Linked DNA regions of Drosophila melanogaster. The protein of the gene in region 1 interacts with the protein of each later gene in a pairwise test. Each region holds a gene or a part of one and is shown in the gene's direction. Other genes may lie near its edges.

Region 1 (5,639 bases):
CATTGAGAGCCAAGACCATAATTACAGACGCCGTTCGCAAATGGAGCTGGATTGGATCGGGTCGGGTTGGAGCTGAAGCTGAAGGTGGCTGAAGGTGGGCACCTCGACAAATCCACAAATGTGTGGATTGCACTTGAGCCAGTCGAGGCATTCATTCAGGCAGTCGGCCCACAGCTGTCGACAGTGGGCCGAGCTAATAAAATGAAAACAAAAGTGGCACCGGCAAAAAATATAATTTATAATGTTGCGCATACCGCAAAAATGTCAAACACGCCCCAAACCGATCGCCCGCCCGCGCATAAAAACAACAACAACAGCACATGCGGGTTCAAAAGAGCAGTTTGAAGTTGGTTTGGTTTATTCAAATTAAATTGGTGGCAGGCAAAGGCAAACAAATTAAGTTGCCGATACGAACTCAAGAATATGGAGTGTGCCATATAGACTATAAACGAGTATATAGGCGCATATAGCCAACCGCCCTCCCGATTTCGCTTATCGAATGCAAATAATCAAAGTTAGCCAGGGTGCAAGCACTCATTATATTGCAACGGACAAGAGAGGCTCACTGCTGCACTTGCAGAAAAAATGCAATCGGATTTCGGATACGGAATCGAAATTCATTACATTAAATTATATTTATTTCTTTATGTATATATATATATTTATATGTTTAACTGAGCTATAAAAAAATAATAACATTTTGGGGAAAAAAAATCATCTCTTCTCTTTAATAACTAAGATACTCAATAATTGTTAAGAAGTTGGGATATTCAACTAAGATACATACAAAAATTAGTTACAACAGCATTTCTTTCGAAATCGTTCACTCACCTAGCATTCGACGAATATCATTTTCTCTTCTTAGGGATTATTCTTAGTTAAGGATAGCTCATTCTAAGTTAAATAATTTTGATTTTCCGAGTGCATGAGTGCATTTGGGAGTGCAACATCTAGATTAGCGGACAGCAAAGAAATGCTGCAACATGTGGCAACAGCGGTGGCCAAAAGTGAATAGAAAATCCATTTTGCTGTCTTTTGTTTTCCGCTTGCTTCTTTGGGCAGTGCTCTTGTTTCTCCTTTTTTTTTAATTTGCAAAGTTTTCGTTTCGTTTTCCGATGCAGTTCAATGATTAAAGAGGCAAACGCCCAGAAATTGGCCAGCTCACATTTCGTTATGGCCACCATTGGGGCATGTTGCAAGCGGTGGGTAAGAATTTTTTAATTTGATCGAGCGTTGCGCTTGGGGCGGGGCTCTTGGGCGTTTTTTGGAAAGGCACTGATCGATAAGATCGGCCTAATCCCGTGGCCAAATAATGAGTGCTAATTGTCCGCACCGCGGAAGTCAAAGAACTAGCACCCGAAACAACACCAAATAAAATACATTAATCGCCTAATGTTGAAGCCAGGTTGAAACCAATACCGGCAATTAAATCGCGTTGAAAGCAAGGTCATGGCAGCTGTGATTTTTTCCACAGTGACAAACGCAGCGCGGAAACGCACGAGCAACATGTTGCCAGTGCAACTGCAGGCCAGCAACATGCTGCAGCGGCACTCCACTGCAAGCGATTGATACACATTCTTCGGCTGCGATATCCACTTCGGCTCTGGCCAAACCCCGCTTCGAGCCCCGATTAAAGTGGTAATTCGATTACTCTGGAACTGGTACCACACATTGTTCTGCTCTTGCTCTCGTTGGCTTTTGTTGGCTTTTGTTGAACGCCCGATATTGCTGGTGTTGCGGTGTTTTCGCTGCTGTTACCAATGTTGCGCATGCGCCGGCGTCTCAGCCGGAGTCTCGGCTGCAGTGTCTCTGCTCCCCAATCCCCAGTCTCCGGGCTCGCTGGTCTCGGGCGGTATATATTAGGGCCGCCAGCCAGCAGTCAGCACAGTTCGTTAACAGTCCTAGTCGTGGTTCTAGGAGGTTCAACCAGCGTCCAGCGACCAGTGCCTGTGCCCGTGTGTCGTGTGTAGTTAGTTTTCCGTTCATCCGCAGTGTGTCCCCGAAACTCCTTTTCGAAGCTCAATCGTGTGATCATAGCTAAAATGAAGCCATTCGTAAGTATGCGCCATGGGATCGAAAGGATAACGCCGAGCAAGAGGATTAAAGTTATAAATAATATGAGTTGGAGTGTGTAGATTACCGTGAGGAGAAAAGGATATTTGGATTCCGTGCTTGAATTACTGAGATACATTTCTAACTTTTTCTGTTCTACAAATTAGTGATTAACGTCTCTGCATGTAATTTATTTTTCTTAAAGTTACAAAATTTTACCATAAAAGTGGGCAAAAGTTCATTTAATTGATTGATTCTATCATGAAATGCTTAAGTTCATTAAAATCGTAGTTTAATGGAACTATGTAAGTCCACAGCCAGGTTTCGCTAGTTAGAACTGCTTTTTCATTTTCGATCTTTGGGATATGTTAATCGGTATCAAGAGAGAAGTGTGGCATACCAAATCTTTAAATTGGATTTTGTCAGCCGTTCGAAAAGTAAACACTAGTTTGACAGTGACTTGCCATTAAGTTTGAATGAATTCCTGGCATTCTTTTAATCTGTCATAGCGCAATTAATTTAAAATTCAACTGACATTGCTTTTGTAAACTCAATTTATTTCGCTTAAATTCCGCTCCGAACGAAATGGCACCTGTGCATCGTTCAGTTCCATCCGAGAGTCAATTACCATGGCACGTCATGCTAAACGTACCACCCAGCAAACCATCAGCTGCCATGGAACTCCGTGCGAAATCCCGTTGATAAGCCGCTGACATGTTGCATGTCGGACAGTTTATTCAACCGTTTTTCCACCACTTTCTGCCCCACTCACCTGCTGACACATAATATCGTACATAATCGCGCCGCATGCGGTAATATCTTCGAACGAATATTGGCCGACCGACCGACTACTGACTACATATCTCGGAATCAAATCTAACGGTTGCGCTTCGCGGCTCTGAAAAGCGAAACCATTGGAAAAGCGAATCCAGAGGAGAAGCGAGTCCAGGAGAAAAGCGAAAAGATGGGCGTGTGGGGCAAGAAAAGCGAGAGGAAAACGCTGGCGCAAGAGCAAGAAAAGCGAAAAGCCTGTAATTAGGTTAGCAGAGGCGGCTTATAAGCTTCCACTGAGTGACACCTGCGATTAACGATTTTGGGCGGTGGCTACCGCACGAGTAATTATTGAGCAGTCACATAATCCCACGCCTAACACCTTCTGCACTGTGAGAAACATGTAGAAGCTATATGTTAAATAATTTGAAATATTCAAAGAGATGAAGGTACAAAAGTTCTCTAATCGGAATTCAACATAGGCAAAATCAAAAAGATTTTTAATTATTATTATATATATATTTAATATATAAAAATCAGTTCTGTAAAGCTATATTGAAATTTGTTAGTTTTTTTTATCAGCTACATCAAAATTACAAAAAATAATTTCCCATTTTTATTTAGTTTATTGCCGCAGCGTTGCTGATCTCGACGGTGTCCGCCTCTTGGCACGGAGCCGTCTCCACACAGTACCAGCACCTGGACCCGCACAGCCACACCTACTCCTACGGATACGCCGATCCCAACTCACAGAAGCACGAGACGCGAAGCCATGACGGCACCACGCACGGCTCCTACTCCTACGTGGATGGTCACGGTCATGTGCAGTCGGTGTCCTACACCGCTGATCCGCACCATGGCTTCAACGCCGTGGGCACCAACCTGCCTCAGGCTCCTCAAGTTCATGCCGCTCCCGTTTACGCTGCCGCCCACGCCCATGGCGCCTATGCTCCTTACGCCCACGGACCCATCCACATCCCGGTGCTGACCCACGGAGGCGTCCCCGTCGATACTCCCGAAGTGCAGCACGCCAAGGCCGCCCATGCCGCTGCCCACGCTGCTGCCGCCCACAATGCCGGAGGACACCACCTGTACAAGCGGTCTATTTACGGCGGAGGATGGGCCTACGGACAAGCCGCCCATGTGCCGCTGACTCATGGAGGTGTGCCCGTTGATACTCCCGATGTGCAGGCCGCCAAGGCCGAGCACTATGCCGCCCACGCCAAAGCCCTTGGCCATGTAGCTCATGCCCACGGTGCTCCCGTTGAGACACCCGAGGTGCAGCACGCCAAGGCTGCGCACTTTGCCGCCCATGCTGCCGCCCGTTCTGGACATGCCGTTTCCCCCATTAACCACGGTGGCTATCACGTGCCGGTAATCCACAATGGAGTACCCGTCGATACGCCCGAGGTGCAGCATGCCAAGGCCGCCCACTACGCCGCCCTGTCCCAGGCCTCCGCCCACGGAGGAGCCTCGCATGGATCCTGGGATGATGGCAGCTACGACGGACGCTGGGAACAGAGCCACAGCAGCCACAACAGTTACGCCTCCGGCTATGCGCACAAGGGACCCATCCACATCCCGGTCATCCACAACGGAGTGCCCGTGGAGCCTGCCGAGGTGCAGCACGCCCGTGCCGCGCATCTGAATGCGTTGGCCGCCGCCGGACATGGAGCTCCCGCCAGCCATGGTAGCTACTACGGTGGCAATGGACACGAGGATGATGGCCAGTACCACGCGCACTATGACCACTATTAAGTGACGAGTGGTCGGCACTTGAGAGAAGTTTAACTTCCGATCGACGACGAGCATCTCTATACACTCTGACTAACCGACTACCGAAGCCAGCGTGGCGTATGCGTAACGTTGCATTGCGTATTCGCTCGCCAGTGCCACTTTTATACAGCATTCGCAACTCTCTGTCTTTCTATACATTTATCTGTTCTATTACTGCTTCTATTTCTTAACCTCTGTCACAAAAACACACGGAAAACTGAAAGCTACTACACACGGGAGATTGAAGTGCTTCGTTAGAAGCCTTCCTTGCCCGCTGGGTTTTGACCGATTTGGATTTTCGATCCAGTCACAGCACACACATCTCTACCTACCTACCTACATACTTCTCTCTGTACTAGGATTTTCCCTCATTTTTTATCTATATCTTTATCCTCCTGTTACTTCGATTGAGAAACGCTGTATGAGTATGTTGTAAATAACAGTTGTAATCTTTATGTATCTGACCAGATATAGATCTATATTTTATATGAACATGCAAACAGACAAATAAACTGCAAAAATGTATTTGATCACAATTTGAAGTGTTTGGAACTGGTGGTGGGATTGTGGTATTAAGAATTTAAAATCAAAGCCCCAGGATGCAATGTTAACTTACTTCTTGAGATAAGCTTTTAAATTTTGTTGGTAAAAAGCGCAGCCCTAAATAATTAGATAAATATTTCGCTTTACATTTTTCAACATATATATATAAATTAGTTACTTTTTTAATTTAATCAATGATTTCTGTTAAAATATTTCAAAATTTGCTAAGGCTCCTAGACAAAAATTAAAACACTTTTTAGGCTTATTAGATTTAAATTCAATCGAACTTATTGTATTTAAAGTTGGAATTGAAAATTCATCTTCATCCTGAAGATAAAATTCCACATTTAATGATTTTTCTGATGTTTTGTCATGTTAATTAAAAGGCCATCCAGTTTTGGGGCTTCGCATCCATTTACTTTAAACTCTGTTGCATATTTCCCAGTCTCAGGTCAAATGCCGCACCACCCAGAACAACCATCTAAACCACCACTGAT
Region 2 (4,874 bases), on another chromosome or scaffold:
ATTAACAATGCTAAGAAACAAACTTTTTTGTATTGACGAGAATAAGTCTAACTCCTATAACTAAATATATAAGAATGTTTTTGCTCAAAGGCAATTTTAGTTGTAATTGATACGAACAGACATACAAACACACACACACGCTAACTGTTATACAAATGAAACGCACACGCTCAAGCCTAATACTGTTATACTGTGTACTTTATATAGCCATTATATACCTAAACCTATATACATATAGGATCGAAACGCTTGCAATTAACTGCTTACATAAGACATTTGAGTCGGGCCCTTGTTATACGGACGTATGCCAGTAGAACAGTGGCCGCGCCGAACCGATCTAGCATTTAACTATCTATATACAACAAATATGTGCGATATTTTTTATATGCAGCTAATTTAATGTGTTGTATTTTGACCCCACACCACCTTGTAACTACGTTTATACGCCTGCTTTTCGAAAATTGAGTAACGCTTATAGAATTTTCGATTCAATTCTTTATGCCTTTTAACAGTTGAACATATATAATCAGTATAGCAACATTTTCTACCCACTTGTAAATAAGTTTATAACTAATGCAGTTTTTGTTGCCTACTTATTCGGGAGTCGAAAGGTCTGTAATTACAAATAAAGCTTGTGTATAAACGTAGTTCGTAGATTCTCTTTTGATTTTAATCTTAAAACATTTTTTGTTAATAAAAGAGGAAATTAAAAAAAAACTTTTAAACTTTCTAGTGTCTTTATTGTGGAATTTTAATTTTGTGGCAATTTAAAGAATATTTTTATATCTTTAATTGAGCCAAACATTTCATAAATAAAATCTCAAATGAAATGTTAAGAAGCGAGTACAGTTGCGCGTGCACGGACATAAACTTATGGCCGGGACTGTATGGAAAGGTGGGGGTGTAAGGAAAGGACCCCGTTTACGAGGTCGTTGCTTGTTCGTGTGTTTCTGTATCTGGTGGCTCCTTTTTCCGCATTTCCTTTTAACAGGATGTACGCACAGATACGGAATTTGTCCCAGACCATGGTCGGGAAATCGATTCAGGCCAAACGCCAGGAATACGAACACCCAAGCATTTTCGCCTATACATATGTACATATATGCAACGATATGCATACACATACATGCTTGCAGTTTGTGGTCCTGCGCAGTGCTTTACGGATGTCCTTGTTTTTTTTTTTTTTTTTGCTAGGAATGAGGGCTTTTAATTTCATTAACAGTTACAGAGCTCTGTTAAGTCAGCTGTTCGCCGAGCGAAAGAGACGGAGCATACCAGATTCAAGGTCTACATAACTGTATCCTATGTACATACGTTCGGTATCTATACGAAAAACGGATGTGTATCCACGAACTTTACATGGTATACTTACAGGCGGACTTTGGGGGAAGGACTTCGTCACTAGATTCCGTTTCGTGAATATGACGTGCAGGCACGTACGCTGGCAGGGTCGTAGCCCCAAAGGGGGTTAAAAATAAAAATAAATATTATTTTTAATTACTTAAACAGCCAAAAGGGTTTATTTTTAATATTTGGGCGTAATATTAGGAGCAATATATTAAAAGCTATATATATTAATACGAAATAGTAGAATTACTATGCTCAAAATGATGCTAAATTTTAAAGAAAATTTAAAATTTCCTTAGCTTTATCATGGTTGAAGTCTTCGCTACAGTCTCAGCCACTTTGGCAACCCTGGTTGAAGTCCACTGAAAGGTTCGTGTCTCTGATATAAGCCAGTATTTCAGGTATTTTCTTGGTATTTCCCATTGCGGCAGCGAAGATTTTTTAGTACATTTCGCTTGGCCCCTGGGGTATATTCTCACATACCAGCCAAGGCCACACTCTATCAGCAAGCTGTGTGGCGTCCGGTCGCTTTTTCAGTCATTCGTTGCGTCGCTGCGATCTCATCGTTCGTTTTGTTCCTACACGTTTTTGGCGTCGTCGTACATTTACGTGTCCCGCTTACTCGCGCGCACCCTCTCTCTTTCACTCTGCGGCGCGCGTGCCTAAGTGTGGTGTGTGGTGTGTGTGCCTGTGTGCGTGCGTGTTGGCGAGCAGCGCGGCGCAGCACAATAGAAAAGAAGAAGAAGAAGAAGCTGAAGCTGAAGGAAAAAACATAAGTGAATTTTTTTCGGGTGGAAGCGCGGTGAAATATGCGTGCGTGCGCGCGTGTATATGTGCGTGTGTGCGAAAATCAATACGAAAACATGAATAACAAATGCTAAATAAGAAAAATAGCTACAACGCACAACCGAAAAGAAGCTGAAACAAGAAAAAAGAAAGCGAAAAAAAAGGAGAAAATAATAAATAATAGGAATTGGGAATCCAGCAGGAAGGAACAGTTAGCCATTCCAGTGAGCTAAAACAGCACAAACCCATTTCCAGATCCAGCCCATCCAGGGCTTCCAATTGACAGTTGCCAATTGACAGTTGACAGTTGCTAGTTGCCAGTTGACAGTTTCCAGAAACGCAGCAGGATGTCGCTGCAAACGAAAAGGCAGCACTGCTATCTGTGCGATTTACCCCGCATGCCCTGGGCGATGATCAATGACTTCTCGGAGGCGGTGTGCCGCGGTTGCGTCAACTATGAGGGCGCCGATCGCATCGAGGCGGTGCTGGACGCCGCCCGCCAAATGAAGCGTCTCCATCCCGCCAGCAAACAGCAGCGTTCCCATGAGAACGGCGAAGTGTCCGCCGCTGCAGCGGCCGCCGTCGTCCTACAGCAGCAACAACAGTTACAAGTCGGTCCAGTTCCGGGACAAGGACCGGGTTCCCATCGCGGCGGAGGTGGCGGCGGTCCACCGGGTGCTCCGCCCGGAAGTGGTGGTCCAGGTCCGTCGGGCGCCGGTTCGCTCAGTTCGCTGGGCAATGCCGTTGCTGCTGCCGCCGCCGCTGCTGCAGTGCATCATCACCATCAGATGCCCTATCAAATGCCAGTGCCACGCATCGGTCCGCCACTGGACTATCCCGTTAAGCTGGAGGATGCCCCCGGTGGCGGCGTACGACCCGTACGCATTTCACACATGACGCCCCACCACCTGCCGCCAAATGCGACCCGCGGCGGTGGCGGTGCACCCGGCGGCGGCGTACCCACCGCCGGCAGTGGCGGTGGCAGCCTACCGCCCGCCCTATCCGTGAATTTAAAGCGTCCGCCCAGCGAGGATGTCGATGTGGATGTAAGCCAGCAGCAACAGCAGTCGGGACACGGCCTGGCGCCAGATGGCAGTGCTGGCAACTCCCTATCCGCCGGCGGAGGCGTATCCGGCGGTTGTCCGCCCGGCATCAAGCGCAGCGCCATGGACGATCCAAGTGGCGTGGGCGGCAGACCGCCATTGACGCGTGGCGAATCCCTGCCAGCGGCGGTCAGCTATGTGCCCGAGCGTCAGCTTAGCGGACTCCGTGATAAGCAGCAGCCGGTCAGAGCGCCCAGTTTCGATGCATCGACCTTCAAAGCAGGTGAGCAAACATGACATAGATCATTCAAAATACTTGGCACAGTGGTTACCCAATAGAAAGAACTTTGCTGCAGCAAGTAATGGGAAAATTTTTCATTTGCAGTAGGGATTCGGGAAAAGCAGGAGTAGTTTCAACTACCTTGAAAACTACCTTTCATAATAATTAGAGTAAAGTGATCAGAGTCTCAAAAGTGCCGCGTTGATAAATATTTGGCTTTATAAATGATAGTACAAAACACTATCTATCGTGGTGGAAAACAGATTTGGGATAATCCCCTATCAGTGATGGATTTCTTATCACTTATAGCGATCGGATCGAATCGCCAGTGGGAAATACGCGATATGGATTAAAAAATGGAGTGACCAGGGGGATGTTGTTTCCCAGCCACAGTGAACACTTGATATCTTCTAAAGTATATTTTATCAAAATATTTCAAATACAAAACTCTTCGAGGGGTGATATTTCAGTTTGCTTTGATAGCCAATGTCAAACAAAAATAAAAACTTGTTTAAACAAACAAGTGAGTTAGAGGAAATTTTTTTTTGCTAATTTCAATCTAAGATTTGCTGGATAAAATTAAACACTATTTTATCCTCCGGAAACATAGGAAATTTGCTTAAATCCTAAGTTTGAAAAAGTTGGCGGCCACTGTATTTGTTTACCGTTTCTTACCAATCCCCCGCCTTTTTTTTTTTAATATGAGCCGTGATCGCGGGATACAGAGCACTGTTTCTGCCTCGCTCTAGCCTGGATGTGGGTGGAAGGTCGTGGTGGGGGAGTGGGAGGAAGAGAGGCGGCGATATAGTGGCACACATACCGCTTATTCAGGGCAGAGTGAAACGGCGTGATTGCCTGCTCCTTATCTCTCCTTACTGGAAGGCGAGCTAGAAGAAGACTGCGCTTCTCATGTATATGCACGTACACATTTACGTTTGCATGGATGATAAGGAGCGTTGTGTTGGAGATTAGATAACTCATTTGCTTATCAGCGCGTCCTTATCGCCACCCAATGCGTATGTATAACTCACACATACACGCATACGTGCACATGCATGCATGTACATTCAAACAGAAAAAGAAGCGTATAAACGCATTTTGCAACCCTCTGTGGAAAAAAGGGGCTGCTAACCCTTGCCATTAAAAGGCATGCGCACATGCCAATATACATATAGGGAATATACATGTGCATGTACCGCGCAGACACACACGCGCACACAACTACGTGTTCGTTTACATGCACGTACGTAACAGTCGCAATGGCAATAACAAAAAACGGCGAGAAAAAAAAGCGCAAAAAGCACACGAAAAAAGGGCCGCAGAATGTAATATAAACAGAGACGTGCAAAAATCGTCGACGCTGACGTTGTAATGTTCTCGCTCTCTATCTCTTTCTCCCTCCGTCTTCTGTCGCTTTT
Region 3 (4,633 bases), on another chromosome or scaffold:
AAGAAATATTTGTTTCAGGAAACGGAGTTATTACGGTTCATTAATGAGTTTGCCAAATCGCCTGTTTTACCAAACGTGGCCAAAGTGTTCTTGGTATACCGATAGAAATTTACAAGGGTTATAATAAAATAAAAAAAAATCTCAAAAACTTTTTAAAAGTGTGCGCGTGGCAGCTTTTGGGGGTTTGTGGGCATTAGAAGGAACGCCGCCAAAGTGTTCTTAGTATAACGATAGCTATGGGCGGTCTGTGGGCGTAAGAGTGGGCGTGGAAAAAATGGATTTGGCAAATGAATATAAATTTACAAGACTGATGAAAATATACAAAAAAATATGCAACAATTTTTCAAAAATGTGGGCGTAGCAGTTTCGGGTTGCTTGAGGTCGTTACAGTGGGTGTGGCAACATGGGACAACAAACTTGCGCTGCGTCCATGTCACTAGAATATGTATGCTGAATCTCAACCTTCTAGCTTTAATAGTTCCTGAGAACTCGACGTTAATACGGACGGACAAGCCTGATCGACTCTGCCAATGGTCTTGATAAAGTATTTGTATATTTTATATGGTCCGAAACGTTTAGTTCAAGATACACTTCGTTACACACTTTTTAATATAGTAACGGAAATAATTAAATAATTTCCTAAACAAAGTCAAAAATATTCAATGCAACAAAACACCTCGCCCTCCATTCACAGAAAAAATCGTGTGAAACACAATCCAGCAAAAATAAATTAATAAATAAAGAATTAGATTAATTCGCATGCCTTGCTCAAACCATCAGCCATCGCCGTTCACCAGAACCCCTTTACTTCAGCTGTTGTTTTACAGCTTTTGCTTGGCTTTGGTTGGCTGCTTTGGCCTAGTTCTTGGTCGTTGCCATGTTTTCAACTCGGTTTTACTTTCAATTCTATGGTTCGAAATTGGCCACTTTACTTTAGACTTTAGAGTAAAGCTATATGTTGGGCATATAAATCGAATTTATCAAGGGCAATTCAGCTGGGTGGTATTAATTCTAAAAGTGATTGAGTGGTCTTCCTTCGATCCCATGCTTGACATGGATTCAAGTCCAAGCCCATGTTGAAGTAGTAAGCATTCTTTAATTTAAGCACCGTAATCCACTATCGAGCGATCCAGAAACCTGCTGCTAAACGAAAATGTAACGAAAAAGGTAACAACATTTCACAATCGCCTTGGTAAATAGTTTCCCAGCCTTCGTTGGCTAGAGGGTGGATATTGTTGTAGTTTCAGAAAACAATAAACAAAGCCCGCTCCCCGCTTGTAGATAGCTTGAAACTGATGGGGAGCTTTGGATGAAATTCTCAGTAAAATGTTGAAATTCACTAAGAATATGGGTCTGGACTACATTTTTCTGATAACTTGTATAACTTGTAAAACGTAGCAAAGCTGCAATGGCGCAAGCGTTAACTTTACTCTTACTTTCAAAAGCTTAAGAGATACAAACGACTCCGCGCGGGTGCAGCAACAACTTGAACAGTCTGTTAATGTAAAGTAACAGTCGGGGCCAAGCGTGGCGCAGACCAAGCTTGGCCCAAAAGCCAGACTTCGAAACTTGGTTGGCTGGCTGCGCTTGCCCAGAGTCTCAAGACACTCGTCCGCACAGTCGCGCTGTATAGTTGTTTCGATTAGGACGTGTGGTTCGCTTAAGCGCACGGTAAGCAGAGACGCTCGAGGGTCACCCGAACTTGTCAGGCGGTCTAAACTGTTTGCAATAAGCCACAATCAATTTTTGGGCTTTCGATTGCTAATTTATTTCGTAAACGCGTCGAAATAAAGTCCACCTCTGACTGGACATTGCAACCAGCCAAAAATTTAACATTTTGTAGAAAGCAGTTTTAACTGCATTTTGCAGTTTAGTCGAAGAGCTCAAGCGTGTGTGTCGGTGGTAAGCTAACTTTGCGTTAAAAAGAAAGTTTACGCTAAATATATATACAAGCTTCGACAAACAAAATAAAAACGTGCAGGTTTTGTTTTATTTTGTTTCGCATTTTCCTCTACGCGCTACAGACTAGTTCATACAGAGTTTTCCAATATGGAGGTGCCCGCGATACCGTACGGGAAATCTAAATCAAACACCGATCTTCGATTTGATCTCTTTGCATTTTTGTCTAGCAATCTTTTCCATGGTAACTACAAAACGAACAGCGGTCATTGCAGTCTCACGTGAAAGAAACTAAAAAACCTAACTAAAAATCGCTTGCCAAAAGCAATGGAGGAAAACTAAGTGTTGTAATCTGTAAACGTGTGTGTTAGCTATGCATCGTCGCGTTGGTTAAAGCCAAACGAAAGCTCGAATAATAGGGGCAGAAACTAAATCTGCTTACAACAATACAAACATGTCCTAACCAAGTGAAGGCACAGCCACAAAGCCGCAGTCGCGGCATAAGCCAGACACACCATTAAGAAAACTGTAACACAAGGCTCAAAAAATCTAAATTGAAAAATTGCGACACTGCCTTCTTAGTTATTTAGCAATTGTTTTCAACAAAACAGAGGTTTTCTCAACGGTAACTGCCTCCGTCATCGGTACGGTGGCTGCTGCTGCTCCCCACTTCCCGCGCTTCCAACCACTATTTTTATCCGAGCTTGCCTATGGTATTTTAAATTCTGTGAACTAACCCCAAAACGAAACTGAACCAACCACATCAAGAAAATTTACAGTTACAGTTACGACGACACGCCATACCTGCAATATGAAGTATTCAACAAGTCGAATAAACATTCTGTGCCTGCTGGGATTGTGCCTACTGCTTTTTAAAACAGGTGAGTAATGCCCACTTCAGTGAAGAACACTCTGCTAGAAATACAAATGGAGGCAAAAACTTAAAAGAGCAAAGGGCTTACACACTTTACCCACTAGTCCTAGAAGAGTTAGCACTTAACCAGATTTTAAGACAACCATGGATAAGTATTCAGTTCATGTATGAACTGAAATCTTTTTTTAAACGTAGATCCGAAAAAGTTTTATTTTTAAGTGAATTGTTTTTACAGTACTATGGATTCTTCTTTTCCTCAATCATATTCGAAACTTCGTGATAGAAATATTATGTTCCGCAAATAAAGCCAAACTTGTTTTGAACACTGTTCCGGCTGCCATGTACGAGCTCGCAATAGTCTAATGTCAAATTCAATCACCGTAGAAGAAGTCAAACCACCAGCTGTTAACCACTTGTGTTGAGCTCTATTGTGGATACTCCGGCTCCGGCTAAACGAGTTTCTTAATATGTCCAAAAATGTATATTTATTTTAATATATATATATATATATATATATTAAGACATTTTACTGCGAAATGTGTTAGGATATATAAAAAGTAAGAGTATTTACATTAGGGTATGTATGGAGGTAAATACATGGTCTGATCAACTGCTCTATTTACCAGCGAACAATAACATAATCAAGCATTTCGACCATAACAAGCCTTACCGTGTCCAACTATTGGTCACTTGGGCTGTCTACTCACCATACTGCTGGGTAATGGTAATGGAATTATGTAAGTTATCAGCCAGCAGCCAACCAAGCAGCTTATGACACAGATATTAATTGCATACAGCTCGCTGACTCGATTGAATAGGTTCACTAAGTGAGTGAGTGTATCGGTGTAACCGAGCAAATTGTGGCTATAATAACTGTTGATAATTTTTAAAACAGTTTGCTTAATTGTTCAGACATTTTTTATGAATGATATATATGCAAAATTTGAGAAAACAAATTGGGAACTACGAAAATTGCTTAGATAACGTGGTAAGGATTAACACTATTAAAATTATAATAACAGCATTAGACGGCTAAATTGTTTTGAGATAGATTTTTTGTATTACCTTTGTGGCCTTATAAAGTGCATATATGTATCTTATTCATAACATATTAGTAAAAACAGCGAACTTGAAATAGCCAAGCCCGGCTGTCCGATCGTCCTCTTTTAAACAATTTATAATCTATCTGCTATACCGATTCGGTCGTTGATACTTAGCAAGAAATATATATACCATATATGGGCACAATTGTGTCCTTCACAGCTTTGAAATTTCTGACTTAAGTGAATGTACCCTCCGCAAGGGTATGAAGACTTGCATGACTTGGTTTAGGCATAGTGGCAACACTTTCCATTTTGATGAACTTTCTCAGTGTTTTGAGTGGTGTTTTTTTAAGCCACAGAAATATATATTTGGGTAAAACCTTAGATATGCCGCCATGGAAATATTTTCATGCGTAATTGCTAGGAAATTTGTGTTAAAACATTTGATGTACTACTGGTTTAATGCGAATGTCGATGGCTGAAAGAAAAAGGTTTGAGGCGGACGAGGCCAATGGCGAAAGTTGAACATTTGCAAGAACATTTGTTTAAGCGCGTGTTTAATGAATAGTATAACAAAGGGGTTTTAATCATAATTCAGTTTCAATGCCAGTTAAACCATTAGTATGGTGGTCACGCCTCGACCTAATCATTTCGTCTCTTTTTTACCGCAGGCAGTGTCAATGCTTACCGTGCGAAAGTTTTGGCGCACGCGGAAGATCGTCATTAAATTACTTCGCTAGGTCTTTGACTGTAACCTGAACACTTTATACGAGCATGTACGACCATTGGCATGGCGCAACTTTGTTTTGCATGCACA
Region 4 (7,638 bases), on another chromosome or scaffold:
TGTTCCAGCTTGCTCAGCGGCAGCAGAGCCTTCACCATCTCCATGTGACCCTGTTTGATGGCCAACTGGAAGGGCGACATTAGGGTGGCGGCATCTGCTTGGTCCACGCACTGGAGCATCTTGGGATTGCTAATGTAGTCCACCAGATTGAAGTAGGCAATCAAATGGGACAGCGTCCAGGAGGGATTATCAGCCAAGGCATCGCAAGCTTTCTGCAGCCCATTTACATTGTAGTACTGAAAAATATAGAGTTAAATACATTGCTTCGCATTGCTTTGTAGTCCTCTCTCAAACCTCTTTCACAATGCTGACGAAAACGGGCAGCCTTTGCAGAAAGGCATTGAAGCGTTCCTCGGCTTCCTGCTGCACCGGCGACCGGTACAGACTGAAGGATGTGGTATTGGAATCCGAGGTGGGTCGCTGCAAAATGATCTCATAGACGGCTCGTTTTTCATTGCTGCTGTTGAAGGGCGGTGCAAAGAGGAGCATGGCGTCATCGCGGGCCAGGACTTGAAGTGTCCCCAGCGCTTCGCTCTTAATTTCCACGACCTTATTGGCCGGCTGATCGACACCCAGCAGGCGCTGTAGAACTGTAGTCGTACAAAATTGAAAGGCAATGTCATTAGATAAGGCGAATGCGTTGGTCATAAGACACATTAATACATTCTCAACTAGTCTACTAAACGGTGACACGACATGAACATGAACAGGAGGAGGAAGAGCAGTAATGATTGAAAGGGGGGTGAATACCGAAACCGGAGGCTAGTGCCCCTAACGCCATCCACGCCATGACTCAAGGGTGCGGAATTTGCTGCTGCGGATGCTGAATGTGTACTTTGAACTGGGCCAATCTGATCGGATGAGCTGGCTAATGTGGATGCGGTGAGCCTGACAGAAAAACAATGGCCAGTTGGTTAGTTACACGGGTGTGGGTGAGGATGAGCGAGTGGTTCGATGGGCTGCCAAGAAATCAATAGTACACATCTTTGGCCAATGGGAAGGGAACAGATCATCCGATGGCTCTACATTGCAGTAATGCTGCCCGTTTTTTCGTGCCTTCCCGCTATCCGTTGCTGCCCGACGTAATCAATGGTGACAATCATAAAATGCTTATTGTTCTGTGGGTCAGTTTGCGATTTTTTTTATTGGCAACAGTATTAGCTAACCATTGAACATTTTACTGCTCTGATTTCAGGTTTCCTTATCGCACAATTCCAGTATAAAACAATTTAAAATTTCTGCTATGTAAAATAAGAACTGAGCTGTATTTTTTGCAGCTTTATTAGCGATGTCACCGTTTATCAGTGATGGTACTGCATCAAACGATATTTCTAGACTTTCTAGTCGAGTTCAAACCCCCAATGGTAGGGGCTTGCAAATAAATGATACAAATTCGATTTCATTAAAGAAATGTTGTTTAAGAAATTAAATTAAATTTACATAGTTTTCGAGAATATTTGAAGAAAGCAAAGAAATTTTCTTTTATTTCGTTATTATGTTATTATGTTATTAATAATGTTATTTCAGCTAAATAGCATTGCCACATTGTTGACAATCGATATAGCCAAGTCTTAACAATCGATTTTAAGCACTGATTCCACAGAGCACGGTCACACTTCACTTTGTTCGCCATTGCTAGACAAAAAATTGTTTCGAGCGAAAAAAGTAGCTGATAGAAAAGGTGAAAATCAGAAGTTAAACGTTCAGTTAAAACTGAAAAACAGACAGAAAAGCAGTGCTTCATTGTGCCCATTAGTGAATAGTGTTAGAGCAGAGGTAAGTGGCTTAGATCAATTTGCAGTAAAATCGCAAAAAAATTCTCGGGCCGGCAGAAAATCGATTCTTTTTTTCTCAAACCGAGCGACGCCACCGGCGGCGCAGAGATAATCCATGAAAAGAAAAAAAAACTTAAGGGGTGCTGCGCTGAACGCTCAGTCTGTCCTTATGTATATTTTGCACGCATTTGTGCATACATGTATATAGTCTGCCATGCGGATCGAATTTTGTAATCTTTTCAACGCAACCTTACAGTATTTCCTTGTGCTGCAAACAGGAAGAGATTGGAATTAAAGATGCGTGGACGCGGCGGATTCATTCCACGTGGTGGTGGCACCACTCGCGGTGGCTACTACAATAATCGCAATTCCAGCAACTACGTTAATACTCGCACCCAGGGCAATTACCGACCCAATAATGGCCGCTACGAGAATAACTATCACAACAACAACAATCGCTACAACAACCACAACAACAGCGGCGGAGGAGCAGGAGGCAACAGCCACTACGACAACAGGAGTCGGGACAAGTTCACTCACCACAACTCGAGCAGCGGGCGCTACGAGTCCAGCTCCTCGAGCCACAAGCGCAGCTATGTAAGTTGGAGCACTTCGCACTAACCTATAAGTAACCATTTGTGAGTAATTACTACGATAGCTTCAGAAATATGCCCAGATTTGTTCTGCATTCTAATTAATTTCAATTTGGATTATAATGACAGGGTAGAAATTGAAATTATAATAGTTAGACCACCTTGACATTGGTTTTTCTACATTGTGTATCTGAAAATAGAGGGATATCGCTTATAACACGTACATATATTGATACGATTTTTTTGCAATGCTGATCATTCAGCCTCTTATTATCTCCCAAAGGAGATAAGAAACTGTAGGTAATATTTGGATGCGAAAAGATTTTTGGCACTATATGTAAATAAGACGAATACCAATGCATGTGAAAAATCAGAGATAAGAACCTTTTACAATCAACTTTTGTAATTGATAATAACAGACATTCTGGTCAAGCTAGTAAACACTTATTGGATGACTACTTATCTTTCCTAATTATACATCTGACAGAAAGAGAGATTATATCGAATTGACGTCTTTTCCACATGCAAAGCAAATGAAAAACTATTCAATATATATATATAAATATATTATATTCAACCTTAAAAGTATATATTCTACGAACAGGTGCGTACTTATAAACGGCACACTTATTTCTGTGGAAAAAATAGATAAGAATGATTATAGTATTTGAAATATACGTTTGATGTTAATTTAATATTTTTCAGTGGCAAATACGCTTGAGTATATTTGGCGGTCTTTTTTTTGTTTTCTTTTACCTTTTACCTCTTTGATCAATTGTTACATATTACATATATATTAATAACAAGTCTGTCGCTCTTGTAGTAAATGAATGATGTATTACCCAAATCCATCTATATATATATATACATATATATGTGTATTCATAATGCAATCTATTTTTATGTTTTGTGTTTCTAGGACTCATCTCGCGACCGCAGCGATGATCGCAAACGCCCGCGTCAAGACGTAAGTTATACTTTGCCCCATTTTAAATGCTATTGAAAGCACGCTATACCCAAAGGTCGACATATTAATTATGCATTAAGCCAATCGCCATGTACTGTGTAATGTTAATGACTTTCCAAATATTTATAGCACTGTTTGTGAAGCTTAAACGCGGGACTGAGTTGAGCCTATCGAGCGTTAAAGCATAACATGTCCCAAATGAGCAAACAGCGCGCTGACTCAAAGTTGCCAGACAAGCACTTTGGAGCACCGAACCTCTGACCATATACCACATAAATCTATATAAATCTGTATATTGTCCATAGCATCGGCAGCGGCGCGGCACCATATAGATAATGATTTTGCCAGCGACCGATCGATTGATCGATCGATATGATCCAATCCGATTCGATCTGAACCGACCCGAAATGATCCACGTATATGATATGAGAGAGCAAAAACTTCTTTAGAGAGCTGTTGAATCGATTGAAGCGATTTTGATCTGTAAACTCTTGTATGTCTTGTATGCCTTCTACCGTACCATCAGCTGTCAAATTTTTCCCCATACCGAATATCCAATATCAATGGTCGGTTAGCAATCCGAGCAGAGCAAATAGAAATCTATCAGTGTGTACATCCGCATACGAATTATAATAATAATATCGATTCAAATCTGTGTAGCTAAGCTATATGCGTATAAGTTTTCTCCATCATGCTACCACACACAAAAAACACGCTGCAGGAAATAATAATAAAAAATAATAACAGCCAATTGTGAACTATATAACCCACAACCAATCCGATCAGAATCAGAATCAATATCAGTCCGTAGCTATATAGCAATTATTTTCATTCAAGAAGTCTAAATATGTTTTATATCTACCAACTATATTTGATATTTGATACAAAAATCAATACCAAATCAACCAAAACAAAGCTCCTTCACACCTTCCTACTCATCAATCGTCAATAGGATTACCGTCGCACGTCCTCGTCGAATGATCGCAGCGATCGACCCTCGTCCTCGTCGCAGAACATTGGCTCCTCGTCATCGAACTATCATCAGCGGAGCAGCACCGGCGGTGGTGGTAATAACGGCGGGAGCTCGAGCTCCTACCGCCCACGCGATGATTCCACCAGCGGCAGCCGGCATCAGCGGGACGGATCGATGGGTCCTCCGAAGCGGATGATGCGTAGCGTGGCCGGCACCAACTATATATCCCGACCCCGTGGCACAATGTCGATGAGGGGCGGCATGATGCGCACCGGGATGCGGGTGGGAGGAATGCGCGTTGTGCGCACCAGGGTCAACGAGTCGAATGACCTGCGCACCATGCGCCGCCAGCTGCTCTATGCACAGCAGAAAGACCGGGCTCGCCTGCTCAAGATTCAGCAGCTGAAAAGGTAAATAGACCAAATTTCAAAAAAAAAAAAAAATCAAATTAAATCAAAACCCAAATGAATATACAAAAATCAGAGTTACGCTATTGTGCACCAATTGAGGACGCAAAGAACTATGAATGCAATCCGTGAGATTGACATAATAATGTGAACGAACTGTGAGATTCAGTGAGGCATCGAAAATCTGAATGCGAAAAGGAGGAGGGAGGAGAGCACTTGGTGCAAGATTATCCAAGCGGCCTCCAGAGAAACTCCCATCTTCGTAGATCAAATACTATCCATGTGTATATAGTTGTGTAACTAAGTAGAACGAATTGAAATGTACCGATAAAAAAGACACCCGACACTTCTTGACAAGAACGTATTTTGTTAGTTTACCACCCAGCTTGTTCTTATGTACTTAAAAAAAAAAAAAAACACAAAATTTTGAACTTGCCTTCAACCAAACAAAACAAAACCATCCTGCCACCCTGACATGACTTCACATTCGAATTCATTCCACCCAAATGTAGCTCGTTGCGACGACAACGCCAGGGCGGGAATTCCAGCGACGATTCCAGCGGCAAAGAGGACAAGGACGGCGAAGATGCTGAGAAAAGCAAGAAGAAGAAAGGCAAGGACAAGGACGCCGATGGAGGCGATGAATCCGACGACGACGATGACGATGAAGAAGACGATGATGAGAAGGACGAGAAGAGCAAGAAGACTTCGCCTGGTAAAAAACGCAACAAGTCGGCCAACAACGAGGACAAGAGTGAGGCCGAAGGTAACGATGATGACGACGATGATGATGATGAGCACGGTGATGGCGATGACGATGATGACAAGGACCTAAATGAGTCCGATCCCAAGAGCGCCAAGGCCGATGACGCCTCCGATGACGAGGATGTCAAGGTGAAGGGCGACGGTGAGGACGGCGATGGTGACAAATCGGACGAAAAGGCCAAGTCATCGGTCGAGAAGTCAGGTAAGAAGAAGGACAAAGACGACGCGAAGGACTCCAAGTCCAAGAAGTCATCATCCACCAAGAAAGAGCGCACGTCTCGCAAGGACAAAGACAAGGAATCATCGGGCGATGATCGTAGCAAGGAGCGACGTAGCTCCCGTCATCGGGATGAGGACCACAACAACCGCAAACGCAGCTTCATCAAACTCATTTGCGTCCATTGCCGCATCAAGTGTGTTACATTTAAGGTGTGTTTCTTTTATTGGAGTCTTGAGTTATTCAATTAACACCATTTCCTCATTGATCCGCAGGAGTATAACTACCATCTGAACTCGCGCTCCCACAAGAACTCCATGCGTCAGGTGGCCCTCAACCAGCGAGCTGACCTGCAGCGTATGCGTGCCCGCCAGCGCACCACACAGCGCGAGATCGAGGAGAATAGCAAGGAGGAGCACGAGTCGCGCTACTGTCGTCTGTGCCGCTTGGCCTACCGCCAGCCCAAGAATCTTCATCAGGCCTCCGAACACCACAAGACCATTAAGAAGTTCTTAATGCCCTATTGCGGCTCTTGCCATCTGGCCTTCAAGAATGCCATGCTCTACGAGAACCACCGCTGCTCCCTGGATCACATTAGGGTGAGTCAGAGTCATTAAGGGATCGAAACTCATTTACAGTTCTGGACTTTACTATATTGTTAATTTCCCTTTCATATCTTGAAATAAGCTTTAAATAATTAATTTTTGTATGTTTTCTTACAGAACAAGGCCCGCAACGATGAATCCGGATCGGATGATAGCGTGGATGAGCGCGAGATAGATTTGAATAAATTCCACACTGTAGACTCGGTGGGCGAGATCGATGTGGACATGATCGACGCCGATGTAGATGCCATGGTCACCGAGGCGGAGGCCGCTCTGAAAAGCGAGGATGAGGAGACTCGCAAACGCGCTCTGATTGGACCGGACTATATAAAGGTCATAGAGGCATTCTACTGCGAGCTGTGCAATCACTATTCCGCCAAGGCTGATGATGTCTCGTTAGAGGACTACACCAAAAAGCATTGCATGCAGCACTCCCATGTGAAGGCTTTCCTGCGAAACAAGGAGGAGACCGAGAAGAAGAACAAGACGGAGGAGGGCGATGAGGACGATCACGATGATGACAAAAAGGCCGGTGATGATGACGCCGATGGCGATGAGGACATCGATGGCAAGTTAAACGAGGATGACGACGAGTACGATGATGATGGTGATGCAGAAGTAGAAGAGGGTGATGCGACCAATGATAAAAAGATGTGGGAGGAGGTGGACAAGGATCTGGGTGACCTCCTGGCAGAAGTAGAGACAAGAGGTCATAAAGAAGATGAGGAGGATGAAGAGGACGAGTCTGTGCTTAACATTGACATTGAAAGGTATGTGAACGACGATGCAGTAATCATGAGCATGTTGTGTAATACGTATTCACTTGCAGCGAGAAAAACAAGGCGAAAGACGGCAAAGAGGAAGCGAACGGCGATACCGATGAGGGAGCTGCGAAAGAAAACGCGCCGGTGGCCAAGTCGCCGGAGAAAAAGCATGCTGCCTCTGCTCCAACCACACCAACGGCCAAGACCACCGCTGCTGCCAGCCAGCCGGCAAAGATGGCAACGCCCAAACCGACTGCAAAAGCAACCAAACCTGGTCCGGCTTCCACGAAGCGCAATGTCTTGGTCAGCGTGAAGCGCACTTCGGCGGCCGCCATTAAAGCTGCCACTAAGTCCGCCAGCAATGCGGCAGCCGCCGACTCCAAGTGAGCGACACTCGAGCGACAGTAATATAATAGTAATAGCAATAACCAAACCCAGTGATTGGGTTGCTACAAACATATTTCAAATATATAACTAAATTATAATGTGCTCAAACAACGTGCACTCGATAATGCCCAGCCAGAGCTGCTTCGACATCTGGCCGCCGAGCCCAGCGTGCTTAATAAATGTCT

The links.
Region 2: the proteins of Cpr92F (region 1) and Pits interact in a two-hybrid assay, tested with the Drosophila melanogaster proteins (one large-scale study listed by BioGRID).
Region 3: the proteins of Cpr92F (region 1) and Cda5 interact in a two-hybrid assay, tested with the Drosophila melanogaster proteins (one large-scale study listed by BioGRID).
Region 4: the proteins of Cpr92F (region 1) and Ciz1 interact in a two-hybrid assay, tested with the Drosophila melanogaster proteins (one large-scale study listed by BioGRID).

Annotation. Positions count from the first base shown.
Region 1 is NT_033777.3:20,667,689-20,673,327, forward strand, and holds Cpr92F (cuticular protein 92F), read left to right. Parts: upstream 1-1,882; 5' UTR 1,883-2,042; coding exon 2,043-2,054; intron 2,055-3,447; coding exon 3,448-4,581; 3' UTR 4,582-5,133; downstream 5,134-5,639.
Region 2 is NC_004354.4:12,580,157-12,585,030, reverse strand, and holds the start of Pits (protein interacting with Ttk69 and Sin3A), read left to right. Parts: upstream 1-1,837; 5' UTR 1,838-2,480; coding exon 2,481-3,459; intron 3,460-4,874.
Region 3 is NT_033779.5:56,228-60,860, reverse strand, and holds the start of Cda5 (chitin deacetylase-like 5), read left to right. Parts: upstream 1-1,592; 5' UTR 1,593-1,671; exon of another isoform or gene 1,672-1,902; intron 1,903-2,129; exon of another isoform or gene 2,130-2,612; intron 2,613-2,667; exon of another isoform or gene 2,668-2,678; 5' UTR 2,679-2,710; coding exon 2,711-2,780; intron 2,781-4,633.
Region 4 is NT_037436.4:9,863,027-9,870,664, forward strand, and holds the start of Ciz1 (Ciz1 zinc finger protein), read left to right. Parts: upstream 1-1,612; 5' UTR 1,613-1,776; intron 1,777-2,031; 5' UTR 2,032-2,072; coding exon 2,073-2,372; intron 2,373-3,287; coding exon 3,288-3,335; intron 3,336-4,287; coding exon 4,288-4,718; intron 4,719-5,227; coding exon 5,228-5,909; intron 5,910-5,972; coding exon 5,973-6,296; intron 6,297-6,419; coding exon 6,420-7,072; intron 7,073-7,131; coding exon 7,132-7,453; 3' UTR 7,454-7,638. Other genes in the region: iPLA2-VIA (calcium-independent phospholipase A2 VIA), read right to left, coding at 1-236, 295-590, 751-790.